3 linked regions of the Stegostoma tigrinum genome follow. The protein of the gene in region 2 purifies or fractionates together with the protein of the main gene of each other region. This does not show direct contact. Links are inferred from orthologs where the notes say so. Each region holds a gene or a part of one and is shown on either strand. Other genes may lie near its edges.

The links.
Region 1: the proteins of C-X-C chemokine receptor type 4-like (region 2) and E3 ubiquitin-protein ligase Itchy-like purify together in Homo sapiens (affinity purification with western blotting; 5 studies listed by BioGRID and IntAct, with this or other methods). This does not show direct contact. The link is inferred for Stegostoma tigrinum from reciprocal best matches to the Homo sapiens genes CXCR4 and ITCH.
Region 3: the proteins of C-X-C chemokine receptor type 4-like (region 2) and CSC1-like protein 2 purify together in Homo sapiens (co-immunoprecipitation; 3 studies listed by BioGRID and IntAct, with this or other methods). This does not show direct contact. The link is inferred for Stegostoma tigrinum from reciprocal best matches to the Homo sapiens genes CXCR4 and TMEM63B.

The regions. Positions count from the first base shown.
Region 1 is NC_081372.1:11,190,713-11,194,463, forward strand, and holds the start of E3 ubiquitin-protein ligase Itchy-like, read left to right. Parts: upstream 1-897; 5' UTR 898-1,011; intron 1,012-3,751. UniProt on the Homo sapiens protein: Acts as an Acts as an E3 ubiquitin-protein ligase which accepts ubiquitin from an E2 ubiquitin-conjugating enzyme in the form of a thioester and then directly transfers the ubiquitin to targeted substrates.
Region 2 is NC_081360.1:73,291,367-73,295,117, reverse strand, and holds the start of C-X-C chemokine receptor type 4-like, read left to right. Parts: upstream 1-1,123; 5' UTR 1,124-1,229; coding exon 1,230-1,259; intron 1,260-2,895; coding exon 2,896-3,751.
Region 3 is NC_081357.1:11,099,157-11,102,907, reverse strand, and holds the start of CSC1-like protein 2, read left to right. Parts: upstream 1-980; 5' UTR 981-1,057; exon of another isoform or gene 1,058-1,279; intron 1,280-3,751. UniProt on the Homo sapiens protein: Mechanosensitive cation channel with low conductance and high activation threshold. Osmosensitive cation channel preferentially activated by hypotonic stress.

The sequences.
Region 1 (3,751 bases), on a different chromosome or scaffold from region 2:
TTTTTCTATCCAGTCACAGAATAGAGGTGCTGTTGGCCAGGTCAGCATTTATAGCTCATCCCCTATTGCCTGGAGGACAGTTAAGTATCGACCACGTTGCTGTGGGTCTGAAATCATACGCAGTCCAGACCAGATGAAGATGGCAGCTTCCTTCTCTAAAGGACGTTAGTGAATTAGATTGGTTTTTCCTAAAAATTGGCCATGGTTTCACGGTCAGCATTCGACTCTAAAATCCAGACATTTTTTTGATTTCAAATTCCACCACCTGCCATGGCAGGATTCGCACCTGGGTTTGTATAAATTATCTTGGTTTCTGGGTGAATAGTCTAGCGATAATGCCGTTGCCTCCCTGGATTTGGAATTCGTACAGTTTTAAAAATAATTGGGAAGGTGCAGCAGTATGCTATGACAGTTTACTGAAAACAACAAGTGCTGGCGATCACAGCGGGTCAGATAGTAGCCACGAAGACAGGGCAAGTCTTCAGTTCTGATGAAGAGTCATCCAGACTTGTAACGTTAACTTGCTCTCTCTCCAAGGATATTGTGCTCATCCAGCTCCACACTCAGTTATACTATCTGACCCGCTGTCATTTCCAGTATGTGTTGTTTTCAGTACAGATTCCAGCATCTGCAGTAATTTGCTTCTGCTATGTTTGTACAGGCGCTCCCATCGAAGTAATGGAAGAACCTGCGGGTCTTCAGAACCATAACAGGGAACTGGTCCACGTGCGCCCTCTGCCCACCTTGGCAACATCGCCGGGGATGATTGACGTCCGCGCGGACCAATCGACGCGCACCGGCAAAGACAGGCGGTTTCCATGACGTCGGCGGCCAATGAGAGCGGGTCAAGAGGGCGGAGCCTGGATGACCCTGTGGGGGTGGAGGCAGAGTCCATCACGTGAGCAGGCGCTGCAAGATGGCGGCGGCGTTGGCGAAGGTGGGAGCGTTGAAGAAGAGCCCGCGGTTGTCTTTCTGAAGCGGGTCTGGCTGTTATCCGGGCCGGCTCCTCCAGTAAGAAAACTTTTTCGGTTTCCCGTTCTCGTTCGAACGTTTATGTGGCGGGGGTAAGGAAAGTGGCGGTTGGGAACTGCTCCCAGGCTGGGGTCTTTGGTTTTGGGGGGGGTTGCGGCGGATGGAGAGAGGGGGATGGGGTCGCCTAATGTCGTGGGAGAGCAGTCTGTCTCGCTCACTCGGCCTGCTCTGGTTTCACCCACTGGTTTCTCCCCGTCTGTCTGTTGAGGTAGGCCGCTTCACTGCCTATTTAAAAAGCTGGAGTGACCACGGACTTGCGTCGAGACGAGTCCTTGTTCTTTAATTTAAATTGCATTGTGGACACCCAAATGTGGGAAAGTTTCAGAGCGAGGAAACTTTAGGTCTCCCTTCTCTTGGAAGGACGGGCATTTCTAACACCCAGCCCCTGAACTAGTCTTCGTGCCAGGTTTAAAGGTCGGTTTGTAGTTCTACTCGGTCCACTTGCCCCTGCCCCCACCTCCCCAGATTCTAGGACACTATGATGATAGTTGTTTCAAGTCCTCCCTAGTTCCATTGGAGAGGTTAGTGTTCAAAGATCGGTGCTTTCTGCGCTTTGACTGCTCTGACGTACTGTTTATAAGTCTGTCTTGAGATTGGTGGAATGCTCTTAGGTGGTGGAGAATTTTTTTTGGTACTAATCCAACTGCTTTACTGTAACGTCATAAGACAAGGAGCAGGAGGTTGCCCGGCCAATTCGCCTATTGGCAAGATTGTGATTGATCTGATTATGGCCTTCACCCCCCCCCCCCTTTTCTGCCTGACACAGTAAATCCTAACTTCCTTATTGATCAGTGTAACTCAACCTTCAGAATATTCAATGATGATCAATTCTAGTCCCCCCCCGCCTCTGTGGGAAAGATGTTGTGAAATTTGAAAATGTTCAGAAAAGATTTAGATAATAGGTGCAGGAGTAGGCTATTCGGCCCTTTGAGCCAGTACCACCTTTGATTATGATCATGGCTGATCATCCACAATCAGTATCCTGTTCCTACCTTATCCCCAATTACAAGGATGTTGCCAGGATTAGAGGGTTTGAGCTATAGGCAAAGGCTGCAAAGACTGTGGCATTTTTCCTGGAATGTCGGAGGCTGAGGGGTGACCTTTATAGAGGTCTTTAAAATCATGAGAGGCGCGGATAAGGTGAATAGCCAAGATCTTTTCCCTGGGGTAGGAAAATCCAAAACTAGAGGGCAGAGTTGTAAAATGAGATGGGCAACACTTGAAGGGATTTAAGCAGCATCCTTTTCACACAGAAGGTGGTGTGTGTATGGAATGAGCTGCCAGAGGAAGCGATGGAGGCTGGTGCAATTACAACACTTAAAAGGCCAGGAGGGGTGCATGGATAAGAAAGGTTTAGCAGGATACAGGGCAAATAGGACTAGCTCAGTTTTGGATATCTGGTTGATTTAGACCAAATGGTCTGTTTCCATGTTGTGTAATGTTGGCTATATGATACAATCTCTGTGGAAGAGAATTCCAAAATCTGAACTCCCTCAGAGAAGAAATGCCTTTCCTTGTCTGAAATGGAAGATTGTTTGTTTATTTTTAAATGATGCTCCTAGTTCAGGATTTTATTGATGAGGGGAAACATCCTCTCAACATCAACCCTGTCAAATCCCTTCAGAATCTTGTAAATTCCAACAAGATTACTTCTCATTTTTCTAAATATCTATGAATATGTGCTCAACTGTTCCTCACAGGGCAAATTGTTTGATCCCCAAATCAGCCTAGTGTTTCTTCCCTGAACTACATCCGACACAAGTATGTCTCTTCTTAAGGTTGGAGTCCAAAGCTGTACACAGTAGTTGAAGTGTGGTCAAATCGATATTCTGTACAGCTCTAGCAAAATCTCCTGACTTTTACATTCCACTCCGGTTGCAATTAGTTAATATCAATTATTTATCTGATCATGAGGCACTGTATGATGTTTAACTATAAAAGAACTAAATAACTACACGTTGACACAGTAAACTGATGCTATCGTGCAGGTTTGGTTGACCTTTTAATGTATATCTTCACTTTACTGAAAGCAAAATTGAAGAAAATCTGACCTTTCACAAATGAACCAGCATTATGCAAGGTTACTGTTTCTGCTTTAGGCCAGTGTTTCGAGGTCAGCCTGCATTTGTGCGTTAGCTTTGCTTTTGTTATTTAGTTATGCTTTACAGTAGGAAAGCGAAACCCAGTACTTATATAGTATGTCTCATCCTCGCGTTGTTTCAAAATGCTTTATAGCCAATAAGTACCTTTTGCAACATAATTACTGGTTTGTAGACAGATGTGGCAGTCAATTTGAAAGGACCCAAATAACACACAAGATAAATAAAGTGTGGAGCTGGATGAACACAGCAGGCCAAGCAGTGTCTTAAGAGCACAAAAGCTGACATTTTGGGCCTAGACCTTTCATCAGAAAAGGGGGATGGAGAGAGGGGGAGGCAGATCGAACATGGAGAGGAGAGTAAAACTGCTTGATGTCCAAACATGAAGGTGGAGGCAGTGGCTTCAGGACATGGTCAAGCAGTTTCAAGGCCAAAGAGATTACAAGAGAGTTGTGGTGGAAAAGAGATCCCCTGAGGTTTGTCTGGAGGGAGGACGGTAACACCTTCATGTTTGGACAACAAGCAGTTTTACTCTCCTCTCCAACTATCTTCTCCTCTGTCCATCTTCAATCTGCCTCCCCCTGTCTCCCTATTTATTTCAGAATCCTCTCCCCATCCCC
Region 2 (3,751 bases):
AAAATGATGAAGAAATGATTTACCTGGAAGGAAAAGAAAACAAATTTAGCCAATTGAAAAATGAAAGATAACATTACAAAACAGAAATGCAAAAGCAAAGTATAAGAAGGAATAAGTGATGGACAAATTGTTGTGCAGACAAGATTTCCCATTTTCTCTTTCCAGAGACAACATTCAGTGCCTCAGACAGCTACCCTATGAAGAACATTAGTTGGGCTAGTTATACAATCAATTGTTCACAGAAAGTTCACCAGAATGATCCATGGTATGGAGGGATTGACTAATGATCAAAGGTCAAATAGATTCAGGCTCCACTCGCTGGAGTTTAGAAGAATGAGAGGTGATCTCATTGAAACATGTGGATTCTTAAGGGGTGTGATGGGTTAAATGCTGAGAGGATAATACCCCTCATGGGAGAGCCTACACCAGAGGGAATGGTCCCAGAATAAAGGGGGAGTGCAATTTAAGACCGAGATGAGGAGGAATTCCTTGTCTCAGAGGGTTGAGAGTGTTTGGAACTCCCTGCCACAGACAGATGTGGGACACAATCCTTGTCAACAACAAAAACAAAGTTGCTGGAAGGGTCATCGGACCCAAAACAGATGCTGCCAGACCAGCAGAGCTTTTCCAGCAACTTTGTTTTTGTTCCTGATTAACAGCATCCGCAGTTCTTTTGGTTTTTATTACAGAAGTAATCTAATCTAATCCTTGTGTATGTTTAAGGCTGAGATAGATTTTTGATCAATGGGGAATTCGGGTTGGGGGTGGGGAGGGCTTGAAAAATGTATGATCAACCATGATGCTATTGAATGGGGATGGACAGGCACTTGGGATGAACAGCTTACTCCTGTTCCTATTTCTTGTGGTCTTATGGCCTAATAGCAATACTTTCACAAAAGCAAATTTTCACTAAAGTCATTGAATATTATCACCTAGTGTGCATTCTGTATAACGGATGCTATAAAATAACAGTTGCTTCCAACGTTTCCGCAGCAGTTAGGCAGCGGTGGTTGTAAATGCCCCTTATTCTTTGGGTTTGTTTTTGAATTCATTATTCAAACTAGTTTCCTTTGGTCGAGCTAAGAAATTACGATTCTCGCTGTGCGCATGCGCAGGTCCAAGTGGCACTTAAGTTTGGAAACTTCATACAATATCTTCATACTTAGAGAACGCTACAAGAAGTGAACTTCCGCCAGTATAACGGTCAGGGCTGTTGGAAATCGTGCAGAATGACTGAAGATTCAGAGTTCGATGAAATGGTAAGAGAAGGTTTAATCAATATCTAAATGTTCCTTTAAGTATTTTTATGTTTGTAAATACTTGTACATTATGAAACAAAATTAAAAATCATTTGTACTTAAAGAGATGATGTTTTATTTACAAAATATACTTTTAAGTGTTGCAAATGCACTTATGTATAGTTTGTAGATGAATTTATCTGAGTAAAGTGTGCAGCTTACAGTTTACCTATGGTAGTTGTGTGCGAAGCAAGAATGAACACAATCATTTTAACACTTTTAGATATTGAAGATATCACTGAAAAGCCAATTGGAGTTTTATGGGTTTTGTTTTTAATGCTTCCAGTTCGAAATTAAACTCTCCAAATTGTGATCATTTAGTGAAACCGGCTGCAGGGGAAGAAAGTTGAAAAGGCATTTTACATTGCTGATCTGATTTAGCCTCGAGTATCTGGTTAGGGGTTTTCATGTTACCGCGTCTGGTATTCCGATTTGCTGTTTGAAACCAGCGCGGTTTAGATTCTTGAGCTTTGGAACTAAGAAATCACAGGAGGTAGAAAGTTTAAAATAACAGCGTTCAACCACAGTTTTTCCGAGTTAAAAGGCATGCTTCATTGATGCCAATGAATAGATCCGTTCGCATTCGTCTCTTCCACATAGAGGAAGCACCTATACCTCCAGGTGACCTGGTCTCGCAGGTATATTTAACTCGGGGCATATACATTTGGCACATGCCGATATTGTTGAAAGAGGTCACTCATGCTGCAACTGTCATGCATGGGGAACAGCTAACCCAGTAATAACAAACAAATCTCCTCAGACTTCTGCTGGACTTTACTAACGACTCAGGGAAACTTCAGCGCGTGGGGTGAAATACCTGAGAAAGAAAACGTTGAAGTGGTTAACAAGTGGCAGTTAAAATTTCGGTGCCAAGTAGCAAGGAGCAGAATAGCATAGAACTGAGCGCTGTTTGAACACAATTACTGCAAGCATGAGTCCCACGTGAGTGAACCCCAACCTCCCTTCCCCCGCTCCCCACCCCAGCAACTAGGAGTCAGTCCTGCTTTGTGATGAGAAATCGTCACTGTGACTTCCTTTGTAAAAATCCCCCGCTGTTCCATTAAAAAGTGAAACACGCACTCAAGGCAGCGCTGCGCTTCCCAAACCCAATCTGCCTCTCGGTGAATTTTCAGCGTATTTTGTTTTCAGCACGCAGCGGGGTCCCAGACCCGGTGTGTCTCCTCACACGTGGACTGCCTAGAGTTGAACAATGCCGATGCTGGAAATCTGACTCAAAACCAGACGTTCCTGAAGAAACTCAGCAGGCCTGGCAAAATGGGACTGGAAACGCTAAGTGACTCTCTCCCTCTCGCCACAGACGCTGCGTTTTTCCAGCCATTTAGAGTTTACTTTTGACAGTTGTAACTCAATCCCGCAACAACAACCACACGGCTGGCCTTAGCCGTTAACAAGTTCAAAACTTGTGGCTGTCAGAAATTCTAACCCAAACAACCCAAAAGCCTGTTTCCTATTGGAAACTTCAGGGGTGGGTGGTAACCACGTGGTTCTGATGGTAATAAAAAGCCGAGGCTGAAAAAATATCGATTAAACTGACGGTTTGGGTGTTGGTTAATAAAGCTTGTTGTTTATTTTACAGTATTATCGCCTGGCTTATGATGCCAATTATCCCAATGACACTGACGCGTACAATTACACATATCCAGAGGGTGCCTTATGCGATGGAGAAAACGCGTACTTTAAAAGCATTTTCTTACCATGTGTCTACTCGCTGGTGTTTGTGCTGGGGGTGGTGGGCAATGGCCTGGTGGTGGTCATCATGGGCTACCATGGAAGAGTGCGCACCATGACGGACAAATACAGGCTGCACCTGTCGGTGGCGGATTTGCTGTTTGTCTTGACCCTGCCCTTCTGGTCTATCGACGCGAGCCTGAATTGGTACTTCGGAGACGCGATGTGCAAGATCGTGCACATCATCTACACCGTCAATTTGTACAGCAGCGTGTTAATTCTCGCCTTCATCAGCCTGGACCGCTACTATGCGGTGGTGCATGCGACCAACAGCACGGGACCGCGGAAGCTGCTGGCTGATCGGTTAGTCTATGTGGGCGTCTGGTTACCAGCCATTCTGCTCACCGTGCCCGACATGGTGTTTGCTAAAACGAGAAATCTCGACGACAGGGTGGTGTGTGAGCGCATTTACCCCGCAGACACGTACCAGTTCTGGATGATGAGTTTCCGAATCCAAGGCATCGCGGTGGGCTTCGTTCTGCCCGCCCTGGTCATCCTCATCTGCTACTGTATCATCATTTCCCGGCTGTCCCGTTCCACCGGCTTGCAGAAGCGCAAAGCCCTGAAAATCACCATCATCCTGATCGTCACCTTCTTCTGCTGCTGGCTGCCCTATTACATAGTCATCTCCATTGACACGGTGATGCTCATGAAAGGCAGCGCCTACTCCTGCGATCTGGAGCAGATTGTCATCACCTCGATGG
Region 3 (3,751 bases), on a different chromosome or scaffold from region 2:
CATCATGGGCCAAAGAGCCTGTACTGTTCTATGTTCTATTAACCACTGCTGGAATAAGTCAATACCCGCCATCTTAACCAATGCTGGAAAAAGTCAATATCCCCAAGTTTAACCACTGCTAGAATAAGTCAATATACTCCCATTCGTGATTCACTGCTGGCACCACTCAATCCACCAGCTCCTCTCAGCCTAAACAGTTTGTGCTCCTAAGAAGCTGCTTGGCGTGCTGTGTTCATCCAGCTCCACACTTTGTCATCTTGCTGGCACCAATCAATCCTTTACCTCCATCCTAATCTACGGCTGGCCCCAGACAAGTCATCACCCCTATCCTAATCTACCGCGGGCACCAGTCATTCCTCCATCTCAGCTCGCAGCCAGAGGGAATCCACAGAATTAGAATGAGTAGGCCCCGGGCCAAAAAAGTACGACAGGACCGAGGCGCAATGAAGCTTTTCGCTGTGTGTGTGAGAAAGAGAAGGAGACACTCACTGTAGATTAATAACATTATTTAGTTATATTAGATTATATAACAACATTACCAAAGAGGCGACGAACGACACCAGCCGAATCGATGACCTTCCGCGGCCCCGACCGAGCTTTGGGGGGTGGGGGGCACGTGCGGGGACCGCGCGGCGGTTTTGTGTCTTGTTTTTCAGACTGTCCGTTAGCTTCTGCAGCAAATGACAGGGAGCTGATCGCCGGCCCTCTGTGTTCGCACGGGTTCCGAGATGGGGGAGTCGTGTGCGTAAAGCGAGGCGGGGGCGGGGGGAGTTAGCGGGGCGGAAAAAGGAGAACGTAGAAATAATATTTTCTTGGAGAGCGGCGACAAAAGCGGACTGGCAATGGGTGCGGCCTGTGGGTGACGTAAGAGATGGCGCTGTCGCCCCCTCCCCGCCGCGACGCAAATTGGGGCGTGGTCTAACCTGGGCTCAGGCGGGGCTTGGCGTCACCATGCGAGGTCTCCTCCCTTTAGCGGCCGTCAATGGCGAGGGTGATGCTAACGCGAGGTTTCCGCCTCGTGACCGTCATTCCCTCCTCCCCTCTGGTCGATGGTGTGGTGAGTCTGACGGTTTTCTTTCTCCTGACCGGCAGCGACGCTTGTTTACCAGCTGCTTCGGAATTGAAAACTGGCAGTGGGTTTTGTTTCTTGTTTTGCTGGGGTAAAGTATTTAAAAAGCAAGTTTAATTCTGGGTGACCCTTTACATGGATCTGGGGTTTTAGGAGCGAGCGAAGTGAGGGCGGAGGTTGGTCGGTTGCTAAGGCTCGAGCTGTGTGCAGGTAAGGATTGGGCCCACCCCCTCCCATTGCAGGTTATCCTGCATTGGGCTTGTGGGAAAAGCCCCGGGCTCTAATTGAATGCAATGTGAAGCGACTTAAGTGGCACGCAGGCTCTCTCTGCGGTAATAGATGTTTTATTTCCCTAATTTGTGGAGTGATATGGATAGGTGGAGGGCGGGTAGTCGCTTTATTCTGTAGGAGAAAAAAATAGGAGCAGCTACTGATCTGATATGGTTCCTATCACCACCACCCCCCCCCAACGTTTAAACAATGAAAACCCGTTTTAAAACTTACTGTTTGCAATTGCAATTAACGACGTTTCCATTTAAAGGAATCCAAAACGTTAGCCATTTACGTGGTTTTCTTTAGTATTTATTTAAACGCTATAATTGGCCTCAACACGTTGTCACATCAGATATCTTTCATGCAATGTAAACGAGAGTAAAAGGGTGCTATTAATCATTTCGCAGTAATTGTCGGTTTTTAAAATCTGAAGGTATTTTGAGGTCGAAAACATCCTGCCTGAATGCTGGGGAGGAGAGAATTGAGTGCTTATTTGTTCCGAGGGGGGGGTGTCTCTGCTCACCACTGGTACCGGCCTTTGCTTTCGAAGCGGTGCATTCAAATCTTCGCAAAATGTGGAGAGTGTCATTTCGATTGTTCGAGACGTGTGATACCGTAAAGGTAAATATTAATTTACACGCATCGTGTTTGGCATCTTGTTCGTTTAGCGATTTTTGTTTTTTGTCCATTATCTCTTTGAAAAAAGCCGAAACTGGAAAAGCGCGGCCCGAAACGTTGACTTTTCTGCCCCTCTGATGCTGTCTGACCTGAGCTTTTCCAGCCCCGCACCTCGCATCTGCAGTCCTTCATGTCTCTCTGTATTAGCCAAATGTTTGCGCGGACTCATCTTGCTCTAGGGTTGTACTTATCGCTGATCGTACAATGTGGACAGTGGACGAAAAACTCGAAATCCAAATTAAAAATGAATGTATACGAGGAGTCAATAACAACTCGATTATAATCTACAGGGAAGTGCCGGTAGTAGGAAAGGTTCTTTGAAGCAGCCCTATTAAGCTTTGGTTTTGAGCACTTTTAGTCTCTACCAAATTATTTCAGTTTTCTCCTGTTTCTTCTCTTTGCGTGGTGCCCTTTTTCAAGCAGTTGTCTCAGACTAATGTAACAGCTTTAAATCCAAAGTCCATATAAATGAACTTTAAATTTTCAAAGGTGCCTCAGATGCCTTTATCAAACTTTATCATAATAGGGGGAAGTGAGACCAAATGAATGGAATATGTAAATACATTCCTCTCTGTCAATGATGAGTAACCCCCCCCACCCCCTCTCTGTCATCAAACAAGCCTCATTAACATCCTCAGCAAATGGATTAACTGCTTTCACTAACTTTCCCCCTCCACAACCCCGACCCTTGTGATCTCCTCCCATAATCTTTAAACGTTGCTCCTCAGTCGTCCTCCTTTAGTTGCCTGGCCATTCAACAACTTTTCACTCCCTCATGATCCCTGATATCTCATTCCTGCCTCTAAACCTACCCCATCCAGGCCACCCACCCTTCAATTGGACAGGCTGTGGCTGGGAAACTGAGTCAAACTGTTGATGGCTCTTGAGGATTTCCACTGAAGCATACAAAAACTTTAGTGATGTGTGTAGAGGAAGGTAAAGTCATCAGTAAGTGGCCATTACGTTTTTAGAATTATAATGAAAGAGATTAGCTGAACTCTCTTTATTGAAGTATATTCGCATGGACTGATTGTTAAATGTAATGTAAGGCAGAAATCAGTATGAGAGAGAAGTGAGTAAATATTTGAACCAAAGGGAGATGCAAAATCTTTGCAACAGAATAGGATTGGTGTGGCAGAGACATGATGTAAACATGATAGGTTATATCACCTCTTTCTAATTTGTAAATCTTGATGGTTTATGGTCCAATCCCAAGGCTGCAATAATGAAAGCAGAAATCAAATTTGTTCTCATATGATCTTGTACAGGCCTGATTCTGAATGAGCAGAACAGTACCTTGAGTCATGTTTTCCCTTTGGATGTGGACTTTGTATAAAATGTACAAGAGCTTTGTTATACATGTTTAATTTATTTAAAGTAGTGGTATCCTATTTAACACTCTGTTTTCTAGAGTTTTGCTTGACATGTTGCTTAATGTTTAAGTACACCTGTTCAAATACACCTGTTCAAATATGCGTTTTCATATGAAAACTATTTTAACAATGATAATTTCAGTTTAAAACTTGAGTTTTTAAATGAATCCGTGCCACAGTATATTTGAATGCTAAAAGATGGAAAGGTATGAAAGGAAATTGAAAGACCATAGATGTTGGAAGCCAGGGCCCATAAGCACCCTAGAGAAAAGATCTTTGCTATTCACCTTATGCCCCTTATGATTTTATAAACCTCCATAAAAAGGTCACCCTTCAATTTGCAGTCAAGATCTATATC